3 linked regions of the Oreochromis niloticus genome follow. The protein of the gene in region 3 binds, or shares a complex with, the protein of the main gene of each other region. Links are inferred from orthologs where the notes say so. Each region holds a gene or a part of one and is shown on either strand. Other genes may lie near its edges. The genes, in order: ksr1a, ksr2 and map2k1.

Region 1 (7,304 bases), on a different chromosome or scaffold from region 3:
AAAAATATATATATATGTGAATAACAAAAGACTGGAAAGTTACAAAATTCTTAAGAATGAGTTTCCCACCAGTGGAACATCTCACAACTAATTATCCTAAATAGAAACAGGACTGGGTGAAATAACAGAGGAGCTCTCAGAGCTTTTCCAAAGTAAAGTTGTGGAGTGGGTCATCAAGTTGTGAGGCTTTGTGGGCACATAGGCCAACAATTTAAAATTTTATGGACGCTTAAAGGTTTCATCATCTACAGAAGTGTCATTAAAGAAGAAAAACTGGACTGAAAGGCTAAAAGACTCATACTTAATTGATCCTTCAAGTTACACTAAAACTGAAATCTTTTTTAGGAAATCACAGAAGTTGCATTCATGGATAAAGAGAGAGACCATCTGGCTCAATAGCCAGCATCTGTGACGGTATCTGCGCACATGGTATGAGTAATTTGTAAATCTGTGAAGGTCCCATTAATGCTGTGAACAATATATACAGGTTTGGGAGCCACATATGCTGCCATTCAGGGAAGAACTTGCTTATTTCAACAAGACAATACCAAACTACACTCTGCGGGACACAACAACAAAAAGATCTCATGGTGAAGGAGTTCAGGTGAACTCTCCTGCCTGTAATCCAGAAACTGTTATCTAATGAAAACATTTATGATTGGATAAATACTACTGGGTTAAATAAATAGCCTGACTTGTGATGTTTTGTCTCACTGATGTAAAAAAATCGTGTTTGTGCAGAATTATAGAAAATTCTCAAGGGTTTACAAAGCTATGTGCACCTGGGATAAGTATCCAAACAGTGCAATGAGACAAGTGTCTTGTTAGCTGTGCTGCAGGCCTCATGGGCAGGCTTTCCAGGTCAGAGGTCGTGGGTCTTAAATGCTCTTTTTGGGGCTCACCCTCCGAAGACCTGAACGGATGCCTGCTGGGAATCCTGGCTAGCAAAGGAGATGGAATTAGATTGTCTACAGTCTAATTTAATCTAAAGCCGGGAGCTCCGTGCTGTGTGTTGTGTCTTGGCTGTCCAATAGTACAACAGTTTAAAGGGCTTAAGAGACCATGAGGCTGTGAAAGAATCATGTCGTCCTCAGCTCTCTGAGTTGTGTCAAGCGAGCTGACCATTGTACTTATGCTCCACTAAGATACTTGTGGGATTTCTTACATGATGTACAGTGTTATTTCAATGGCCAGTCATTTTCAAGTATCATTTAAAATGGAAACAAAATCTTGGAAAAAAAAACTGCAGCAAAAACAGAACACAGAGAGGAGGAACAAATGGTGAGACTGATTTTTCTTTTTTTGTTGTCCTTAGCAACACGGTACATGTTTCATGAGAAAGAGCGCAATTGAAGTAAAAACAAAACTGCTCAAAATTCACCTTTTTTGTCATATGTGAGTTTAACAGTTATGTCATTATATTTCGAAACACAGAATAGCCATCTTTTCCATTTTGCTTGGTATGTTTGATTAAAAGAGCACGTCCTCGATAAGAGAAACTTTTAGCATACTAGTATTGTTTTCTTTGTAAAGCCCTTATTACAATGATCCCTCTGTTACTGCTTTGTAACTTGATTTTGAAAGCAGAGAGGAGCTGAAATTGGCGTGGTGTCCTGCTGGCATTTCATCATCAAATCTGTGCTGTTAATACAGCAAGGCTGAATTCACAAAGTGGTGGACCAACAACAACAATAGCTTGAGAGTGAGACTTTGTGTCTGTTTCATTCCATTACAGGAAGGCTGTTACATGTACTTCTAATATATTTGTGAGAAAGTAACAGTGCCGCCTTGAAAAGATAAGACAATTCAACAAGCTGCTTAGTTTAATCGACTTACATTTTAATATTTCATATAGCAATCTAAGCTTGTCGGATTTCCTAGTAAGTCTCTTTTGTGTTTCAGTCAGGATTTAGGTCTGTCCAACTTGACATGTGTTGTTTGCGAGTAAATATTGATTAAACTTCAAACATAAAGAGACTACTTATCAGCGTCACCTTTCTTAACCCATGATTCTAAATGTAAGAACTCGCATATACTGTATGTGCATTAATAAACATAACATTTTAATACAACCAGGTTACAGATTATTTTAAGTCGAACCAAAGTTGTTCATTTTGACTTTAATAGCTTCAAGTGATTTGAGGCCGACTCAGTGGTGTACGAAAACAGCCAGAGTGAGGTTTCTAATCCCTCTACGTGGTTTTTCACTTCTGCACTGTCTGATTTCTATGTGCTACCATGTGCAGCTGATATTTGGACTGGTGTAAGACACAGTTACATTTTCCCTGCAAATCAGAAGAGGAGAAGAGACAGACAGATGGAGGAGAAGGAACAGAGGGCTCCATGAGAAGTGACTCACGTTCCATTGTATAATCAGGGTATATTAAAGGAAGGAACATCACACCCTCATTGCAGCAATAAGCCATGTGTACTGCTACTTAACGGTTGTGGAAACCTGCAAATTCATCCCACCCCCACAGATATAATATGCACTGTCCTGATATGAGGACAGACGACCTACCTCGGCTTCGACTTTGCAGTAACAAATTGTTATTCCTTCATTTCTGCCTCCATGCATTCTATGGCTTTCGTTGCTCTGTGAGGACGACAATAAAATCACTTTTTTAGTCTCATTTGTGCCAAATATGCATATAAAAATATACTAAATATCCACATATCCTTTATTCTCTGGGTGTAAAGCTCATTTTTACTCAAAGTACACCTTGTATATTTCACTACATGCAGTTATGATGTTGCCTACAGTCTGTGAGCTTGATCAGATGAACTGACGATTCGGCACTGATTCACAGTCTTTGCTAAAGCGTGTAAGGAAAGTAAATACAAGGAATACGGGAATATACTAGTCGACACTCTTTTAATCATATTGCTAAATTTCCTATCCAAATAGTTCTTCTGGTGCATCAGCTTTGCTCCACACAGTATAATGACAGTGTATGGAGCTGCAAGTGAGGTGAAAGGTGGTGATTATTCTTGGTGTCCAAAGCTACTCTGGAATTGCCCTGCCTCTCTGTACGGATCTGCAATCAGAATAGAAAAAGTGGGAGTATGCTGAGGCCTGGATGTCCTCGTAGCACCACAGCAGTATATTTTGCATTATTTTGCAGTTCCTTTAGTATCTGCTTTGCTGCCGAAAAGCGATTTCCACTATTTGCTAAAATGACCTGCTGGACTATAATCTGTCAAACATATCTATAATGAATGATGTCAAGTCATTTTGAAACACAAAGATCATTCCTGTTACAAGGTAGGAGCTATACAAAGTGATTTACATCATCTTTATTTATCCAGGTACATTGGGGTTTTAGGCCTTTTTTTGGGGGGGGGGGGGACACTTAGCATCCCTAAATTGCACTAAAAAATTACAGTAGTAAAGTAATATTCATGTTTTTTGCTATTACTGAATGTTATATTTTGCCAACCTTTCTATTGGAGTGGGTGCAGGTTACGGTGAAAACAGATTTAAATGTCCACAGTTGTTGATGTCGTGATGTTACAGTGCACTCACACTGAGGTTTTTAAGTAGAAGTAAGAGATAAGTAGTTGCGTAAGTAAGATGGGCTGTCTTTATATGGTTAAGAGACTGAAACAGCACATTTCTCCTCTCACTCGCTTTTCTACAAATAGTTCTTTAACTTATTTCTCAAAATTCTGGAGAACATCATTGAGCCTAAAGGCCTTTACACAGACACGTATACTGTATGCATTACATTATGATTGGAGGCTGAGCCCCCCCCCCCCCCTAAAGGTTTCATCCTAGAATCGCCCCTGCATTTAGGCTTCTCTACCTCTGACCCTGCATACTTATCTTCTCCCAGCTGAAAAATTGTCACAGTAGGAGAAGCACGGATATTTAAAACAACAAAAACCCTGATAAGTGCCAGTAAGCCACGTGACAGTGGATCAGCCTGCAGTATATCAAAACAGTTTAATGCAATTAAGCCGTCGTTAATTGTATTATTAATACGCTTTTCCTACCTTGCAATACAACAAAAAAATAAATTAAAATAAATAGGAGGACACCCGGATGAAGCCAAGTTACTTTAATACTTCTCAAAACCTTCATTTTCTTCATTCGCTTTCTTGCGTGAGCAACGAACGGACGACAGAGGAGTGCACGTTGGTGTAACCTATATGACTTCATTTCCCAGATTGCACCGCGCTCCATGATGTTCCCAACAGCTGACAGACGGTGGAAGCCTCTGTCAGAGCTGTGTCGGTGGAAGCTTTGAGTATCCTCTCAGTCGAGCCTCACTGGACTTTGGACCCGGGTCACCGTCGAGCACCTTATTTTGATCTCTGTCAACATTTTTGTTTGCACGGAGGGCTTCCATTTCTTTTCTTTTCTTTTTCTTTCTTTTTTTTTTTCCAGATTCGGAGCTGGGGACAATTGCTGTCAGCTAACTTCCACAATAGGTCGCTGCGTCGCCGGACTGCTGCATATGTTTGATTTATTTTTATTTGACATTTTTTTAGCTTAACACTTTAACTCCAGCCCTTCCAGCCGTGCCCAATGCCGAGGAATGGATAGTGTGTCTGCTAAAGGCGGAAAGATGGTCGAGAGTGATGAGCAGCCGGAGAGGGATAGCGGCGGTGGCGCAGCGATGGCCGCGCTACATCAGTGCGAACTGATCCAGAATATGATTGATATCTCCATCTCCAGCTTACAGGGGCTACGCACCAAATGCGCCGCCACCAACGACCTCACACAGCAGGAAATACGAACTTTAGAGGTAATGAGCTTCCCCCTCTCCTCCTCCTGCTCCCGAGCACGGGCTCAGTGCATAAGCCCCGTCCGGAGATAGAAAGCAGTGTAGCCAAATTGCGGAGTCATGAAGCCCCAGCGCTATGTCCGCCTCCCAGGCTGAATATTGGCTGGGGCGCCCTATCAGTGTCAGTGAGCCGAGCACATTTTGTCGCTTTACGGGCTACTGCTGGCTCACTGTGTAGAGGTGACTCAAAAATAAACATTAAAAAACCAAAACAATAAAAGGAACTCATAATGAAGTTTTGCTTTGTCCCATTCGGTTTTACCATCCCTCTAGAATATTCCAAAGAAGAAGAAGATCTTTATTTGCCCGGAGCTCTTCGGATAGTTCCAAACACCGTGCCGTGCAGCTGTATTGAGCTTGGCCTCATGGCACACATTCAATAGCCTCTGACGGCTGTTATTTATATAGATATATGTATATGTTCGTGTATGGCGCTCTACACTTGGTTTTGCCTCCATACAGTGGGGCCTGTGAGACAAATACAAATGTACGACGCGATCCATGTGGTTACCCCCCCCCATCCAGCAGGCAAAGGCTGGTGTGCTGCTGCTGCTGCTCTCCTGCATCTGGATGCAGATTCACCTACGTCGTGCGGGGATGACTTGACATTGCTTTGCGCGTTGCTCTTTTGGAGCAACATATCCTACTATAGCAGGCGGCACGGTGGAGAAGTCATGCCTGGTGGCGTGCAGGCGTCAGCACAGGACGCACGCTATATTGCTCTCACTTCGCATGTTTGAGGAAAATTCAAATGAGGGACGGGGGAGTGCGTTTTTTTTTTTCGGTTTACCACATAATGATAACTGATACATGCGAAACATAGTTATACATATAGCAGTCGTTTCAACAAAAGGGCCAGTTTTTTGTTTGTTTTTTTATCTCAGGCCTGGATGTTGCTGAGGAGGGTGATGGGAAGAGGAGGGGGGGGTGCTGTGGCATATAAATGGCTGATACAGACAGTATATTTTGATGAGGCTTGGAGATGTGGAAAACAGTTGAATATTACAAGTTCAAAGCCTTCAAATGTCACGGTGACATCCTGGAGACATGATAGATGATGGGGGTTTTCTGGTTCATGGTTTATTTAAAGCCTTGTACCTTAGCTAAAAGGAATATTCACTCCTGATTGGCTAGAGGCTATCAATTATCCATGTCTCCTTTATTTCTGTATAACCAAACACCCCGTGAACAACTGGGCTGTTGCCCTACATAAAAAAAAACACCTAAAAAACCCCCCTAATGCTCCAAAAGGCAAGTATTGCTTTCTTTTCAGCCTCACAGTGATACAGTGAGCTAGTTTTTCAGAAATACTTAGCGCGGTCCAGGATTGCTGCTAATGAAGGAAAAAGCCCCTTAAACCACAGGTTACACTGTGTCCGTAACCTCTTTAGAATCACAAATACAAATATCACCAGCAAGGCCGGGGGGGGTAATAATTTACCCAAAAGCAAAGGAGAGATGACTGAGCTGTTTTATGGACTCAGCTGCAGCTTTTTATCCAGTTTGAGAATACTGTATGATTCTCTATAAAATAATTTAGTTGCTCCCTCACTGGCTGACAGGCATCAGGTGCGAGTTGGCAGCTATTCTGTGCGGGAACAAATTTTTGCAGGCTCAAGTAAAGAAGCCTGGTGTTAAATGAATATTCAAATTCTTCAACTCAAATAGAAACCAAAGCAAATCAGTTTGGAAATTTGTAGTTTTTCTGTTCAGTCCCACCTGTATATGTATATGTGTGTATATATGTGATCAAACCTGGGCCTGAGCTGAGCTGGATAAATGGGTTCAAAACAAAGAGTGCAAAGCGAATCCTGCTCCACATTTTCACCCCCTCTTCATCGGTGGTCATGCGTACCTTGTTTCTGCAACAGGATGTGATCTGGCAGAGTACTTCCTGAGAAATGCTGTCATGTGGACACATTTTGCACCAGCATTGTTCTACATGACAATGGACAGGCCGTGCCGCTCTCACATGTTTCTTGAAGGCTCCTGGGTCTCTTTCCTGCGCCTATGAGACCGTTATTAGGGGGTGTCTCTGAAAGTCAGAAGTGCAAGCAGTGGATGTGGTTACCTCCAGTCAAAGTTTGCTGCTTTATAGACCTCGCAAGCTTTCAGGATCCTTTCCTGCTGTAGGATCAGAATCAGAAATTGAACAGGGAGGGGAAGGGGAGATAAAAAAGTGCATCAGTCTGCGCTTCATTAGCTGATTTTATGCCTCAGTTGTATGTGTGTGTGTCATTGTATTTTTTCTTATTTCCACTGATTCTAGCTGTACTTTTGTTTGATTGTTTAAACTGCTTCAGCGACTAGTGGGCAGTGAGCTCACGGTGCAGCTGTTCATACACGCTGCGTTGTTACTGCAAGTGGCAGCATAAAGATAAAAAAATCTGACAATAATCGACTTGTCTGAGAACACGTGACTCGTAATATCTTAGATCACAGCTCTAGTGGAAAAGTGCAGTCACCTCTTGGGTTCCTTTGTGTAATTCTTTGCCATGCGATGACTGTCTTTGT
Region 2 (7,917 bases), on a different chromosome or scaffold from region 3:
CAATCCTTTAACTCAGCTTCTGAGAGAAGATTATTTTTCCTTCAACTAACGTGTCCTTTTCATACAGGTATTAGCCATGCAGCACAGTTGCTACAAACATGCTAATAATGGATGCCAAAATTTTCTGAAAAGAACTGAACACATAGCTTGGGTATATCCTAACTTTTGGTTTAGGCAAATTAAAAAGGATATCCTTACCCTTCTTAAGTTTGGAGAAATAGGTCAAACCATGACACAATCAATAAAATCTTTCTGATAAATCCATTCACAAAAATTTGTCAGGCTAATTTTACTGGTGAAATAAAAATAATACCCCATAATGCTTATAACTAGTAATCCAGTACCGAAAGCGCTTTGCAAAGCATGCAGGGAACATAGTGAACACTTATCTTCACAGTGTAGCCTGCTCATTGCTGGCAGAGCATTTGCACTTTATATATTTAGTTATTTCTTCACTTGGATTACATTCCTGTCCCCTGTCCAGCACTTGCAAACTCCATTTAACAGCTCAGACATGAATACTTTGCAATATGTTTATGTGTTATGCACAGTCTCATATTCCTGTGGGGATGAGATTAAGTGTGTGCCACTCACAAGTGATTTCTTGGTATTTTGTTAACGTAGTATCTTAATTATTCTCCCACTAGGACTTAAAGTCTGTTGATGGCGCACACAAAGACTTAGTGGTGAGTTTATGGAGACCTTATCACTTAATGGTATTTGTTTCAATCTCATGAGACATCACAATAACATTCTTATAGGCCCTAAATGCCGTGCTGTGTCTGCAGTGCTCAATAGGCTATAGTGAGTTTGCAGTGAGCTTATCGCACTTTATGGCATCTTTATGTCCTGTAACAGCCTGTCAGTGGTAAGGGGTTTATTCGACTGGTCTAAGTAGTCTCAAAAAGGGCAGCCTGATATCTCAACACACAACATGACCATTACGTAACGCAATTTACGGAATACCCCACGGGCCAATTAACGGATAACGATATTTTGTAACAATTTCAGTAATCTGCCAGCCTTGCATAACGCAGGGCCTGGCTGCGAGAACAGATGCGCAGGCTGGCATATTGCTAATGGATTGTAAACACGGGCTGCCTATAGGCCTCGGCTGCCTCAGATATTATTCTGGTGGAGAAGAGCCACCTTCTCTCCCCGCCACCTGCAGAATGCGCAAGTCTATAACAGCTCACTGCAGCCCCTTGGCCTCTTGATTTATTGCACTGCACAAAACAGATAGCAGTGGGCTTTAGCTGAAATCGTTGCATATTTATGCAGTGGCAGCAGAAAAGCAGTCTGCCGTAGAAAAGACACATAAAAATTATGCATAGTGGCCTTGAAATAAATAACAAACGGCGGCAGCCCGCCACCCCCCCATATTGATTTGGATGTAGATGCACAGCAGAAATCCGATGATTCCGCTCAAAGGGTGCTTACCTCCAGCGTTCGTATCTCTTTTTGTGTCAAGTCGTTGGATGTGGCACATTTGGTCCGTAAACCCTCCAAACTAGAAATGCTTATGTCTATCATATTTTGCACCAACTCGCACTGCTGCAAGGCTTTCTGCAAACTAAGATGCTGCTCCTCGCTTTTTGTCATCTCCTCGTTCATAGTTTTGTGAACAGTGGACGTTTTTTTCCGCTGCACTTAACAAAAAAGGAATGAATTAATTCAAAAACAAGGGGAAAAAAATATTGATGATTATTCAAGAAAGGAGCGTGGTGAAACCCACGGAACGGAGCAACCTGCAAAACGCCATGAAACGAGATGTTGAAGGTTTAGAGACGGGCTTTGAGCCGTGAGAGAGTCGACTCCATTGCAACAACAGTCCTCGTAGTTCCTGCTGTTTCATCAAGGTGTCTCTGGTTGTGGGCTAAATCAAACACAGTATGAAGATACCAAGCGGGACTACGCGGTCTGCATCCATTGGGTTCCACTTCTTTCAAATGTATGTTTGAAAAAAAAAAGAAAAAGAAGAAGAAGAAGCTGTTCAGCGCACCATAAGTAGACGCGTCGGGGAAAAGCCTGCTGGTTTTAAAGGTGCTGATGTGCGGACTGGATGCAGGTACTCCCTGTCTCCCTAGGCAGCAGCTGCATCCCGGTTCTCTCCCACCACACCGACATGTTTCCTGTCAATCAAACCCACAGCAACAGCATCGCATCGCCCAGGCACCACCGTGAGGGGCCGTTCTCGCGAGATTACAGAGCAGGGCAGAGAGCTTAATATGCTTGAAACGCCAGGCTAGGGTTAGGGACAAAACTATCCCTCTTTACATGTTTGAAACAAAGATGTCCTTTTACTGAATATGTATGATTCTATTAGTTTATTACAGGCTCATGCTGTGTGCACTCACATCCAAGACACTTATATAGCCTGCAGTCAACAGCTACAAACACTTCAAAATATTTCTAGAAAATGATTTAAATATGCTTTAAAGTTAAATGGAAGAACAAATATTCTTTTCCATTGATTCGTGTGTGACATTTAATTTTTGGCCTAGTTAGACAACTCTGTACTATGCCTGATGATGTTTGCATGTGAGTGGAATCTTCTGTTTTTTATTGTGTGCCTTATCTCATTTCTTCTTCCTCTGTGCTCAGTTTTAATTTGCAGAAGAGATCTTGATCACAGTGAAGCTCCTCAGTTAGAATATAGGTTATAATGCAGACATTACAAATAGAAACTGGATTGTTCAAAAACAGCAATTGCAAAAAAAAAAAAATATATAAACCAAACATTAAGGATTGAATGCTGTCAAAATGCAGGCTGTGATATTAAATCATTATCCTTGACTGATGCAGTATAATGCAGCCTGGGAATCAGGATGCTTTGGAGGTTTCCAGCAACAAATCTGAGAAGTCAAGACGATTAAAGAGATAGGAGATGGTACACAAAATCTTGTGTACTTGTGTGCTCACAGCTTTTTTTCACTAACCCATGATGATCAAGAAAATGTTTCAGAGAAACCTGTTGTGTAAAGTATAAGGTTAGGTAATATTTCAAATTCAGGCTCTAGATAAATATATGGGCACACTGCACTTTTTGAGATATGGACAGATATGTGTATTTTACTGTCAGCACCATTACCAGAAGAAAATATTCCACATGTAACAGAAAATAAATGCAAAAAAATGTAGAAAACATTTCTGACACTCTTTGTCATGTTTTAAGATGGTTAAATATTAAAAGACTCTATTTTGCAAGAACAATTGTGAAGCTTACAAAGATAAACTATAATGAGATTAAGATGTCAGTGTCGTATAAAAGTGAACAAACTACATCTAAGAAGGAAAGGAGTAGACTTTATTTTATTTTTTTTAAAATTTAACAAGACGTTTAGTGCAAGTGACTTTTATTTTAAAAATCAAGATAGCCAGAATACTTTTTTTCTTTTGTTTAAATTGGTGATTCAGACTTCAGTACCATATGCCATCTTTAAAGACTTCTAGTTCTTGCTGTTGGATAAAAAAACAAAAAATCTACTGCTGAGTTTGATTTTCATTTTCACTGATTAAGGAAAGGAATTGTTCAAAATGGGAGAGACAATATTTAAAAATGAAAGAGGAGACATATACCTTCGTTTTTATGATGTTTGATATTGTGTATCTTTTATTGTTACAATTTCTAAATCCCGTTATTACTTTTTACAGAAGAGAACGAGTCACCGATACTCCGCCCATGAAAACGACAATGTGATTTCATTGGTTGTACGTGGTGACGTGTGACGTACGTTTTGTTTGCGGAGCGCGCCAAACAGGGCCATCAACAGTAGTAATCGCAGTGGCTTAAACTCTGGAACCCTTTAGCTCAGCTTGGCGTAAAATTCACGCTTGGTAGGATACATGGCTTCTACAAGTAAAGCGCCGCTACAGACCAGAAATTTACCATGGTGAGCTGAAAGTCGCTGTTTATCACAGAATGGTTCAAAAAGTTATTGCTAGCTAGCTAACATGCCTACTGTCAAGCTAGCTGCTCACTGCACTGAGTAGACTGATGCATTCTGTGAACTGATAGCTTTATGTACATTTAGAAATGACGTTAGTTATTACGCATATTTGTAAAATGGAAGGAAATGAACTTATCTTCAGTTCGGCTTACATAAATCTTATCAGTCCATCAAGCATTAACATGGTGCCACTTCAGCAACAGGTTAACCGAAAACCTGCAGCTTCTGACTGCGGTGAAAGTGCTGTAAGGTTGACGTTTTGTTTATAATAAAGGGTGATATTACGAAAAAAAATAAGGATGCCGAACTAAAAAGTGGGCATCTGTAATGGGATATGTCAACGTTTGTCAGCGCTTATCATATGTATCCGTAGACGTTTCAATAATTTGCTTTAAAATTCATTCGAGGTTGCTTATTTGCCATGCTGTAAACTCAGTAGTTATCGCAAGTATGAATGCGTGTGTGTGTTTTCCTGTTTCAGGGTTGAAAAATACAGACCACAGACACTTGATGATCTGATTTCACACAAAGATATTCTGAGCACTAGTAAGTATGTGGACTGCCAGAATAACAGTACTATAAAACTGTATAACATGACACTTATGGATAAGCAAACTACTTTTAAACCTTAATAAACTGATAAACTCAATGCTATCTGTCAGTGTTTTTGACTCCTGAGCTTGTTTACTGTGGTTATACCGTCACTGTCATTAATGAGTCATGGTACTGAGTCAACTTGCTTAAAACTTTTGTGTTTCAAATTTATAGAACTATTCAAGGGGGGTGCATATGTGGATTGTTAAAGAAACGTCGGTCACTTGTATTTAAACTGATTTTCATTTGTTCTTTTTATTTCCAGTCCAAAGGTTTATCAGTGAGGACAAGCTTCCGCACCTTTTGTTCTACGGCCCACCTGGAACGGGAAAAACCTCAACCATACTCGCTTGTGCCAGGCAGCTGTACAAAGAGAAGGAGTTCAACTCTATGGTGTTGGAGGTATGTTACAACTCCTCATTAGAAGATTTGGATTTGCTGAATTGTAAAGGTTTTTTAACTTGTAACTCTGCCATTTTACATTAAAATATAATTAATTTTGCTTTATAGCTCAATGCATCTGATGACAGAGGTATTGATGTAGTACGAGGTCCCATTCTGAGTTTTGCCAGCACCAGGACCATCTTCAAGTAAGACTAAAACACTTATAGAGATTTTGATCAGAAATAAGTGTTCTCAGTACTTTTACATGCAGTTAAGAAGTGCAGTGGAAATGTAAGCTGCTGCCTTTTTTTATTTATCTTGTCCTTCAGGAAGGGCTTCAAGTTGGTGATACTAGACGAGGCCGATGCCATGACCCAGGATGCCCAGAATGCATTGCGTCGAGGTAAGCCATCTGTTCGTTCAGGCACTACCCACTGTGAGGCACACGGCTCAGTGAGCAGGCAATTTGGCTGCTGCTGACTTACAGTGTATCTACTTTTAAACCTGGATATTTATTTAAAAAGCTTTGCTTTCCAGAAGAGTGGAAATAATTATTGAATTTAACTGTAAAATATTTTGTAAATTTAGTCCAACCTGTGTTTTTCTAATAATGTTTCCATATTTCATTTATAAAGCATCTATTGCTGTGCAGTGCTGTTTTATAGTTCTAAATAGATGCATGGTGAAGGAACAGTGGATGGTATTATTAGTATATTACTGTCAATTCTAAATTCTCAATGAGGTGGTTTACGAGTGTCCTGCACAATCTTAGCAACATTTAGCAAGTACTTAGGATAGATTATTCAAAAAAGTGGATTTTTTTTTTTTATTGACTAAGATGTTGCCAGAATTTACATTTTAAACTTGTTTCCCTGCTTTCATCCCACCCTTGCTCTCTGTCTCAGTCATTGAGAAGTTCACAGAAAACACTCGATTCTGTCTCATTTGCAACTACCTGTCCAAGATCATCCCCGCCCTGCAATCTCGCTGCACCAGGTTCCGCTTTGGTCCCCTTTCGCCAGACCAGATGATCCCTCGGTTGGAGCACGTTATCCAGCAGGAGAAGTGAGTTAATGTGTGAATGCTTTCTCTCCACTTACTGTTGTTTTTTTCGTTTTTGTTTTTACATCTCATTGAATTATTCCCAGAATTGCTAATGAACTTGACAAATGTATTTGTACCTGTTGGCCTCCACTGGGCTCCGCTAGTCTGCCTATAGTGAGAGAAATAATTATTTGATCCCCTGCTGAATTTATAAGTTTGTTCATTTCCTTCTAAATGAACATTCTCTATTTTTATGGTAGTTTAGAGACAGACATAATACCAACCACATTAAAGGTTGTTTAAAATCTAGAGTCTTTGTTCTTATGTTACGTTTCTGTTGGGTAATTTTTAGAAGTTTAGGGCTTCTCTGTGTGTTTGAAAACAGTTTAAATCAGGGGGCAACATCAACCCTGTCCTCTCAACTGTACCAAGCCCTGAAAAACCAACAAATACCACAATAGGAAATGAATTTTCTCATTGTTTCACATTTATTGGTACATGTAACTTGAGATGGAAGAAATTAATGAACGGACTTGGAACTATTTTTGATTGCTCTATTTATTAAATGTCATCAGTTATGTGTTCATGTCGCAAGTTTTAATTTAACTTTGATATGATTTAAAAATAGTTGATTATGTCATTACTTTTTGTGACAGTATTGACATCACGCCAGATGGAATGAAGGGTATCGTGACCTTATCAACAGGTGACATGAGAAGATCGCTCAACATACTGCAGGTATGGCCAGAAGTTCATCATCGGCTCTGTTTAAGATGTGGATGTCATATTCAGTGTGACCGTTTTAAAACAGGCAAAATATAGCCACTGGCCACTTCATTAGTTACACCGTCTGGTGCTGGGGTGGACTCCCATTTTGCCTTCAGAGCTGCCTTATTTCTTTGTGCCATTCCTGAGAGATGTTGGTCCACACAGTTGCTTCAGATTTTTCTGCTTCACATTCAGGATATAAATCTCAAGTACATTTCGCATCCAATATATATCCCAAAGGTGCTCTATTGGATTGTGATTTGGTGAATGTGGAGGCCATTTACATACAATAAATTTATTATCATGTTCAAGAAACCAGTCTGAGATGAGATGAAGTCAAACGGGCATATCTAATGAAGTGGCCGATGAGTAGTATATGTTATATATCCAAACTGCCGATGGATGACATGCAGTACAGTTTACCCATCTCTGTGATTTCAGAGCACAAGTATGGCCTACGGGAAGGTCACAGAAGACACAGTGTACACCTGCACAGGGCACCCCCTCCGCTCAGACATAGCCAACATCCTCGACTGGTGCCTCAACAAAGATTTTACTTCAGCATACAACCGTATCCTATATTTAAGTTCTATGAAACTTGCACATTTTCTGTTTTTGACTATCCCTTTTTATGCTCTGTAGATTTCTTATGAAGTTTAGCATATTCCATATTCCAAGAAAGAACGTTTCCTCCTTGCAAATGATAAAACTTCAGGTTAATAGAAGCTAGCTGTACCTAAATGCTTTGCAAATGTTTTTCAGGATTCAGTGACTTTTTTTTAATGGTGGGTTAACAAAAAAAACTCATATTAGTAGTACAGTTTATGATCTTGCATTTCTTTAACACATTGATGACAGAAATCCTCGAGCTGAAGACTTTGAAAGGTTTGGCTTTGCATGATATTCTCACTGAGGTTCATCTGCTTGTACACAGAGGTAAGAAAAAGAAAATCCCACGTTTTTCTTTCTTTCTTTAATTCAAGCACCCCAGCACAAAAGCCATCCTCCTTTTATGCCAACTTTTGATTGGCTGCCTCTCGCAAACATAAGGTTTGAACAGGTGGATGGGGTTGCTGTGCTCACAGACCTGCCCTAACCATAAAGTATTTGGCGCAGTCTTTGGCCATGTGTAACATGAGTGTCAACCATAGTAACAGCACATGTTACAGAAAACATG
Region 3 (7,793 bases):
ACTCTAAAAAGGAAGGCGCAAGCCAATCGCAAGATTCATGTGCTGCGAGGCAACAGTGCTAACCACTGTACCTGACGTCATACCTTAACTCTACTACAGCTTTACACAATTCACAATTCAATACAATCCCCTTTCATCGTACACCAGCCCTTCATGCATCTCCTCACTTCATTCACAGTCTGAAAAAAAGCCATTTTAGCTCCCGTCCCTATAAAGCCCCTCTTTCTAAAAGCCCACTTTTGTGTTGTTCTCCTGCTTGATCAGTAGTGTAGAAATTCTGAAACCAACATACAAAACCTACACAATGTCCACTTTTCACATTCTTGCATACATGTTGGAGCTCAAAATCTGATCCAGAACAGAGCAGACAGCGACAACATCCACAGCAAAACGGATTTCATCAGAGTTACTCAATAAGCATTGGGCTCATTTTGATGTCACAAGAATGTATAAATAAATAAACAGTTTTCCTTCTTTCTTTCTCTTTTAGCACTCCTTCGCAACTAAGAAGGTATTTGGTCAAGCTCTAGAACTTGCAGATAACTCTTAAGTAGAACACTGAAGAAAAATGGTTCAGGTTCAGGTGATTCTTGGGCTCTTTCTGTGCCCATATAAGGACATTCCTGCCTTATTGACATCAACCAGGCAGAAGGAATGAAAAACAAAATGTTTGCAGCAGCCTTAGCTTTAGGTTCACAGGGATTACATGTACATGATTATCAGCCGATATATATTTTAATAGTGAAAAGATCTTTACATTCAGTATAATAGAATTCAAACTACAGCAGACTTTCCATCAAAGCAAGCTAAAGTCAAACATCTGCCCTTGGCTAAAAGTAAACTGAATCTTTAAAAATCAGAAGAGGAGGTTCTGTTTTTGGTAGCATTTACATGTCTCATTCCTTGCATCAATAAACATGATAACTCAAAAGGTTTTGAATGAATTCTGATAAAACTTTGTAGGGGTGTAGAGTGGGGTCATGTTAACAATCCATTCAAATTTGGCTTACATCCACCAAGGTCTTCAAGGTCAACCAAATGATTTGTTGGGCAAAAACTGACAAAAGCCCTATAAGTTTTACACCTATGGCATGTGTGACATGTATTGTCAACATATAGAGTGTATTGTATATACTGTGTAAAGATTTTAAATATGTCACTTATGACCTTTGACCTCTCCAAGGTCAATAGATTAATCTGAAGGTCAAAGTGATAATAGTGATCTTTAGAGCTATTTTTAAAACTATGTGTCTTACTGGTTAAAATTTTATAAAATGTATTTCATCTTTCAAGCTATGCTACAAATTCAAATACTGGGAACAGTTAAGAAATGATACTGGTTTATGGGGATTTTAAATACCACATTATAGTTTGTATCCAAATGTCATGTCATTTGACCTTTGGCCTCACTTTTACATTTCTACTACTCTAATTTGTATCTTACTGAAAACTTCTTAAAGTATATTCCTTCCTGTTTTTTTTAATGTTTTTTTGTATTTTGTAAATCTTAATGTGGTGGACTAGTGGACACATTAAAAAAAAAATCTTTCTTGTTGCTTTAAAATTACCATTGCTTAATGCAAAATGGTATTCAAACATGACTCAGTGTCATTTTTTTTAGTCTTTAATTCATTGCCAAAGACACAGATGGCCTTCAGATGTGTGCTCTAACAACGAAACAATGATATATTCAGACTCTACAACGCATCAGAAAAGCAGCCATCATAACCGATGACATGTTATGTAACTCTCATCTCCACTGATCCAGCTTGTTGCAGGACTCACTGGGCTTTTCTCAGCAAACTGAGGGCTAGAGGAGGATGTCAAAACAATTTTATGTCTCCATTACTGTGTTTTGTCAAACAATGGTGGGAGCAGGACTTTGCAGAACTTCTTCAGCAGACAGAAATATAATTCTGTGTGCTGCCTCGCTGGAAAGCTCTAACTCTGACTAATCACACCAAGTGGGCTGTGAGAGTAACAAGGAGACCTGTCCATCCATGACACCACGAAGAGGACTTGACAGCCGGATGTTACAGAAATATTATAATGAGAAACACAGTAACAACAATAATTTGTGAAAATGTGAAGTAAAACAGGAAAAATGAATGAAATCATGAGGATTTTGACAGCTATTTAGCACTTGAAATGATAAAGTGAAATGAGTTTCCAGTTTTCTCCATTTTACATCATTATAAATTAAACTTCTTTAACTATTTGATAGCTGATTAGTGTGTAACAAATAGTCCACTGAAGTCTACTGAATTATGATTTAGTGGCTGTTTTAACAACATTCAAGCATTTTCTAGAGCCAAAAAATTATCAATGTGATCAACCTCTGTTTATTCCCTGTTTTATTTCAGTTTGAACGGAGTATCTGTGTGTCTTGGATTGTGCTTGAAGAGTAAATCTAATGAATTAATCAATCAATCAATGCTGTAACCTATAAAAATGCAACATGCAACCCAAACCACATAAGCTATTTGAGGAACCATTAATGGGCATGTGTCAGTAACTTTTCAGATTTAAAAATATTTCATTTTCTCAGTACAGCAACTGATAACAATGCCAGTGATCAATAGTTGCAGTAGAGGACAAGCTCAAATACTTGGTGCAGAGTACTCGAGCACACACACATACGGTATTGGCTGCTGTCATACCGAATCCAACATACATCAGGTTATGTATCAGAAAGCAGTTATCTGTGTACTACATTCCCCTATCTGGATATCAGAAGCAGATTAATATTGACACTCACTCTGTGGCTCCGCTGCCGTTGATAGTGTTTCCATCAGGGATGGGGTTGAGTTGGATCGGCTCAGGCTTCCTTCTCTTCTGCATGTTACGTGCAAGAAACAAGCTGGTGTAAAAAAAAATATATATATAACAACAACAACAAATCAACACACGAGCTGCAGCAGTGTAGACGGAAGCCCGATACAGAAGAGGTATCTGATATTAAGAAGACACTGTTTATCGGCAGTGACTGACAAGGGAAGAAACAGGCAAGGGTTGTAATGAACTGCAAGGCTGAGCAGCTGATTTCTTCTTAATGGGTGGAGGTGAATGAAACGTCACAAAATATTTTCATTGGTCTTCCGGAAAGCGTGGCTGGGCTTGCTGCAGCTCTCCCTCTGCTGGTGATAGGCGGTATTACCATGCTGTTACTAAAGTTTCATTTAAACGAGCAGGAAGGCGGGAATTAAGCGCTCCACTAAAGGGAGCATATTAGCCAAAACTAGAGTAGCTTTGCATTTTTCAAAAATTATCTTTATTTATAAGAAATGCAGTCACTCACTTCATCCTAAAAACTGTTTGAAACATGTCATTTTAGCCTCTTTCTTCGGATTGGCTGCCCCTCCTAAACTGAAAGTTCTAATAACAATTGGGTGGGCCCAGAGCTGTGTGCTTTCAGGGGTATCCACTCTCAGTGACATAAATTATCTGAAACCAGGCACTTAAAGTAGTCTGAAATCTGAGTTTTTGGCTCACAGGGATTACTCATACATATACTGGCCTCTTTATTCGAAACTTCGGCCACATTTAACATGGCCAATGTTAAATATGGTAAAATATTACATAACAGGCTCTGACTATCATTGTCCAAAATGGCATAAAAACCTAATAGATTACCATAACATAAAAAAGGACTACTTTCCTCCACAGGGAACCACACAGTCTGCTACTGGAACAAACTCTAACCAGCAAGCAAATGACAATCACCCCACTAAGCAATAAGTATGATGCTTATGAGGGCCCACAAAATGGACTCCCTGAAAACCATCAAAAACCAGCTAGAACTAAATGGTGACAAAAAAAGTAAAAATATGTGATGGAAGTGTATTTCAAGACCTCATATGACCACTAATAACCTTGCAAACAACAGAAGGGACGTTATTAAAAACGAGACTGACAGAGACTGAAATTCAAAGGATAAAAGATGAAGCATCTCAAGAGCGGGGAAGAGATGTGAATCACCAAGAAAACAATGTTGCAGCATTAAGTGCTGAGGAAAATGAGCAGAGCGATGAAGTAAACCAACCAAATGAATCAGACCACCCAAATGCAACACAGTGCTGATGAAAAAGTAGAGGAAATGGTAAACAACATACTGAGAAAATGGGAGACTGTAAAAGAAACACTGATGAAAGACCACTAATGCTAAAGATTAAATGTGACAGGCATGCAAAATCAGCATTACAAATAACTAATAGAGCAATCATGGCTATTAATGGCTATTAATAGCCATGGCTATTAATCATGGCCACCATCTTCAACCTCTCACTGCTACAGTCTGTAGTACCATCCTGCCTTAAGTCAGCCACCATCGTTCCAGTGCCCAAGAAGAACACAGTGAGCTGCTTGAATGACTATCGTCCAGTTGCTTTAACACCCATAATTGCCAAATGTTTCGAACAGCTCATCATGTCACACATTAAAGCTGCCATCCCTGCAAACCTCGATCCACACCAGTTTGCATACAGGGCAAACAGGTCGACAGAGGACGCCATAATAACAGCTCTTCACACAGCCCTCACACACCTGGACTGTAGTAACACCTATGTGAGAATGCTGTTTGTGGACTTCAGCTCTGCCTTCAATACAGTTCAACCCCACAAACTGGTTAATAAACTAAGCAACTTAGGACTCAGCAGCTCACTGTGCAGCTGGATACTGGACTTCCTGAGCAACAGACCCCAGAACGTAAGAATGGGAGAGCACACCTCCTCCACCCTCATTCTGAATGTGGGTGTCCCACAGGGGTGTGTCCTCAGTCCCCTCCTATACTCACTTTTCACCCATGACTGTTCACCTATCCACACCAGTAACACCATTATAAAATTTGCTGATGACACCACTGTCATAGGACTGATCGACAACAACAATGATTCAGCGTACAGAGAGGAGGTTCAGCATCTGAAGCAATGGTGTGACGACAACAACCTGCATCTGAACACAGCCAAGACCAAGGAGATGGTAATCGACTTCAGAAGAACAAAGCGATCTGAGCACTCTACCCTCTACATTGATGGGGAGGAGGTAGAAAGGGTAGAAAGCTTCAAGTTTCTCGGAGTCCACATCTCGGCCGACCTTACCTGGTCCACAAACATCTCCCACCAGGTAGGGAAAGCACAACAAAGGCTGTACTTCCTCAGGAAACTACGTCAGGCTCAATTACCCCAAAGACTGCTAGTAAACTTCTACCGCTCCACCATTGAGAGCCTTCTGACTTACTGCTGCACACTCTGGTTCAACTGCTGCACTGCGGAGGACAAGAGGAAACTGCAGCGGGTGGTGAGGGCAGCAGAGCGGGCAATCGGCACCTCACTAACTCCCCTCAGAGACATCTATACTGGCAGACTTCAGCAGAAAGCCAGCATCATCATTAAAGACCCCTCACACCCTGGACACTCACTTTTTTCCCCCCTTCCCTCTGGTAAACGCTACAGGTCCATCAGGTCGAAGACAAACAGACTCAACAGAAGTTTTTACCCACAGGCTGTCAAACATGCCCTACCTCCACCCTGATTGGAGGATAACTGCACTGCCAACACTCATGGACATTACACCTTATTTATAAATCGTATTTCTGTTTATACTTCAATGCAAACAACACCCCTACCTCTTTAAACTGTATTTATTATAACATTATTTAGTATAGTTCCAACAGCACCCCCCACCCCACTCAATGTGCAATATCACTGATCACACTGCACCTCTCAATGCACCTGCTAGTTAGATGGCATGTATGTGTATGTATATAGATGTAAGTGTGTATGTGGAAATATGTGTGTGTATGCATGTACGGATGCAAATATGTATATATACATATATGTATGTATGTGCGTGTATGTTTGCAGGTGTATGTATAACTTGTACATATCTTTCTTGTGTAAATGTAAATTTGTCATTGTGTAAATACTTACGCTATTGTGTACTTCACACACATGGAGAGATGCCAAACTGCCTTTCACTGTTCTTGTAACAGTGACAATAAAAAGCTATTCTATTCTTCTATTCTATTCTAAGAATAGGCTTGATGATAAGCTATCCCTTGCTGAAGTGAACAAATTATTTTATGCCGCTGCCTCTGCAGTCAGTGACATCTTAGGCATAAAAATTAGGAGGAGGGGACACAAGGAAACAAAACAGAGACAATGGAAAAAAAAATAAATTGAAGAAGAAAACCAAAAGACAAGAAGTGAAAGTTGAATATTCACTGAAATCACTCGAGGAAATAATGTCAAGAAATGGAAAAGAAGAGTTCATAAGTAAAAACAAAAAAGTTTCACCAAGAATTAAAAGAAGAGGATATTATAATCATGGAAATACCAGATTTTAATTTAAAAAAAAACAACAAACTGTCAAAACATTTGGACTAATATCTGGGAAAAAGAAGAACATCATAATGAAAATGTTGAGTTGATAAAGGCCTTTGAAAAAACAAAGATACATGTGAACAAGCCAGAAATAACAGTGGAGGCAACAACAACAGCTATCCGAAAAATCCAGAAACTGGGAGACCCTGGGGAATTATGGCGTAACAAGCTTCTGGCTAAAACAACAGCACTACATGAAAACCTGACACGATCATAGAAAACCATGAAGGATGGCCTCCTTATTGTTAGTGCCCGACTAATGCAGTCGGCTAACAAGTGGTACTACTTAATCCTACACTGTATAAGACTTTAAAATGAATACCAATAGCCAGATCCTACAAGAATCTGGTGGACAACAACTTGCTAGCACTAAAACAAAAATACTGTAGTTATGTAGGAGTTATGTAGATCAACTACTTAATTATGGCTTAACTTAATAAAGCCATAATGAAGGCGATTAAGACTGGGAAAAGAAATAATCTTACTCCTTTTGGTTGACCACAAGAAAGTATTCAACTCTGTCCAAAATAAGAACATTTCAGGGAAAAATAAAATACAATGGGGAAGTTTAGTTGGTGATTCCTTAATTGGCTGTTCGAGTCACTGTGAATCTGTGTCTCTGTGTTACCACTGCAATAGACTGGCAACCTGTTTAGGGTGTACCACAACTTACTCCCTCTGACAGCTGTATTCGGCTCCAGTCTTCCTGTGACCCCGAATAGGATGAGATGGATCGATGGATAGAAAAGATGTCCTGTACCCTCTAAAGACATTAGATGGAAGAGGCCTTACTAACAAAACAAAAACATTGGACACATACCTCAAAAATAAAGAAGACAATCTCCTTAACAAAGCTAAAGATAGTGAAAGAACTACAAAAAAAAAAAAAAAATCATTATCACTGCACTAATGAAGCCGTTATATTCAAAAGAGAGCTCAATATGCCAAAGATACAACTAATGGAAAATGAGCCAACCACCAGCTAAGCAGAAATGGCAGGCAAACATCAAACCCTATAACAATGAAAGAGAAAATGGGAAGAAAATGCTCCGGACAGTATTTGAAATGAATAAATGGCAGAGATGTGGACCAAACAAGCTGCTGGCTTAAAACAGCAGGCTTACAGTCAGAAACTGAAGGGCTCATTATTCCTGCTTAAGATCAATACATTAAGACCAACTGCTATTGAAAAGATGAGGCTGAACTGAATTGAACTGAAACAAGATCTTGAAACATGGCACCAATTCAATGTCCTTGACAAATGTGACAACTTTTAAAAAGTGGAAGTAAACAAACACTGAATATGTGGCAAATAAGAAGAGACAATAGAACATCTAATGTCTGGCTGCTCTGAATGAACTCAAACAGAATAAAAAGACTTTTAGATCTGTCTATCTTAGATCTGTCAAAACA

Evidence for each region.
Region 1: the proteins of map2k1 (region 3) and ksr1a are in contact, whole or in part, in a crystal structure (PDB 9AXH), measured with the Homo sapiens proteins. The link is inferred for Oreochromis niloticus from reciprocal best matches to the Homo sapiens genes MAP2K1 and KSR1. Residues at the interface, in NP_002746.1 of Homo sapiens: Asp217, Ala220, Asn221, Ser222, Phe223, Val224, Gly225, Thr226, Arg227, Ser228, Met230, Arg234, Leu235, Gln236, Gly237, Met308, Ala309, Ile310, Phe311, Leu314, Asp315, Val318, Asn319; in XP_011523731.1 of Homo sapiens: Asn767, Gln768, Leu769, Lys770, Leu771, Ser772, His773, Leu776, Val784, Arg785, Met787, Thr788, Pro789, Asn823, Gln824, Ala825, Ala826, Glu827, Ala828, Ser829, Ile830, Trp831, Gln832, Gly834, Ser835.
Region 2: the proteins of map2k1 (region 3) and ksr2 are in contact, whole or in part, in a crystal structure (PDB 7UMB), measured with the Homo sapiens proteins. The link is inferred for Oreochromis niloticus from reciprocal best matches to the Homo sapiens genes MAP2K1 and KSR2. Residues at the interface, in NP_002746.1 of Homo sapiens: Val81, Glu102, Met219, Ala220, Asn221, Ser222, Phe223, Val224, Gly225, Thr226, Arg227, Ser228, Met230, Arg234, Leu235, Gln236, Gly237, Met308, Ala309, Ile310, Phe311, Glu312, Leu314, Asp315, Val318, Asn319; in NP_775869.4 of Homo sapiens: Lys674, Arg818, Asp820, Lys821, Leu822, Arg823, Ile824, Gln825, Asn826, Ile837, Arg838, Gln839, Leu840, Ser841, Pro842, Gln877, Pro878, Ala879, Glu880, Ala881, Ile883, Trp884, Gln885, Gly887, Thr888, Met890.

The regions. Positions count from the first base shown.
Region 1 is NC_031975.2:7,566,012-7,573,315, reverse strand, and holds the start of ksr1a (kinase suppressor of Ras 1), read left to right. Parts: upstream 1-4,220; 5' UTR 4,221-4,541; coding exon 4,542-4,751; intron 4,752-7,304.
Region 2 is NC_031977.2:30,125,287-30,133,203, forward strand, and holds the start of ksr2 (kinase suppressor of Ras 2), read right to left. Parts: upstream 3,044-7,917; 5' UTR 1,615-3,043; coding exon 1,441-1,614; intron 1-1,440. Other genes in the region: rfc5 (replication factor C subunit 5), read left to right, coding at 3,847-3,893, 4,432-4,496, 4,810-4,946, 5,055-5,134, 5,258-5,331, 5,834-5,993, 6,629-6,710, 7,182-7,311 and 1 more. UniProt on the Homo sapiens protein: Location-regulated scaffold connecting MEK to RAF. Has very low protein kinase activity and can phosphorylate MAP2K1 at several Ser and Thr residues with very low efficiency (in vitro).
Region 3 is NC_031972.2:51,630,653-51,638,445, forward strand, and holds the start of map2k1 (dual specificity mitogen-activated protein kinase kinase 1), read right to left. Parts: upstream 3,065-7,793; 5' UTR 2,842-3,064; coding exon 2,759-2,841; intron 1-2,758. UniProt on the Homo sapiens protein: Dual specificity protein kinase which acts as an essential component of the MAP kinase signal transduction pathway.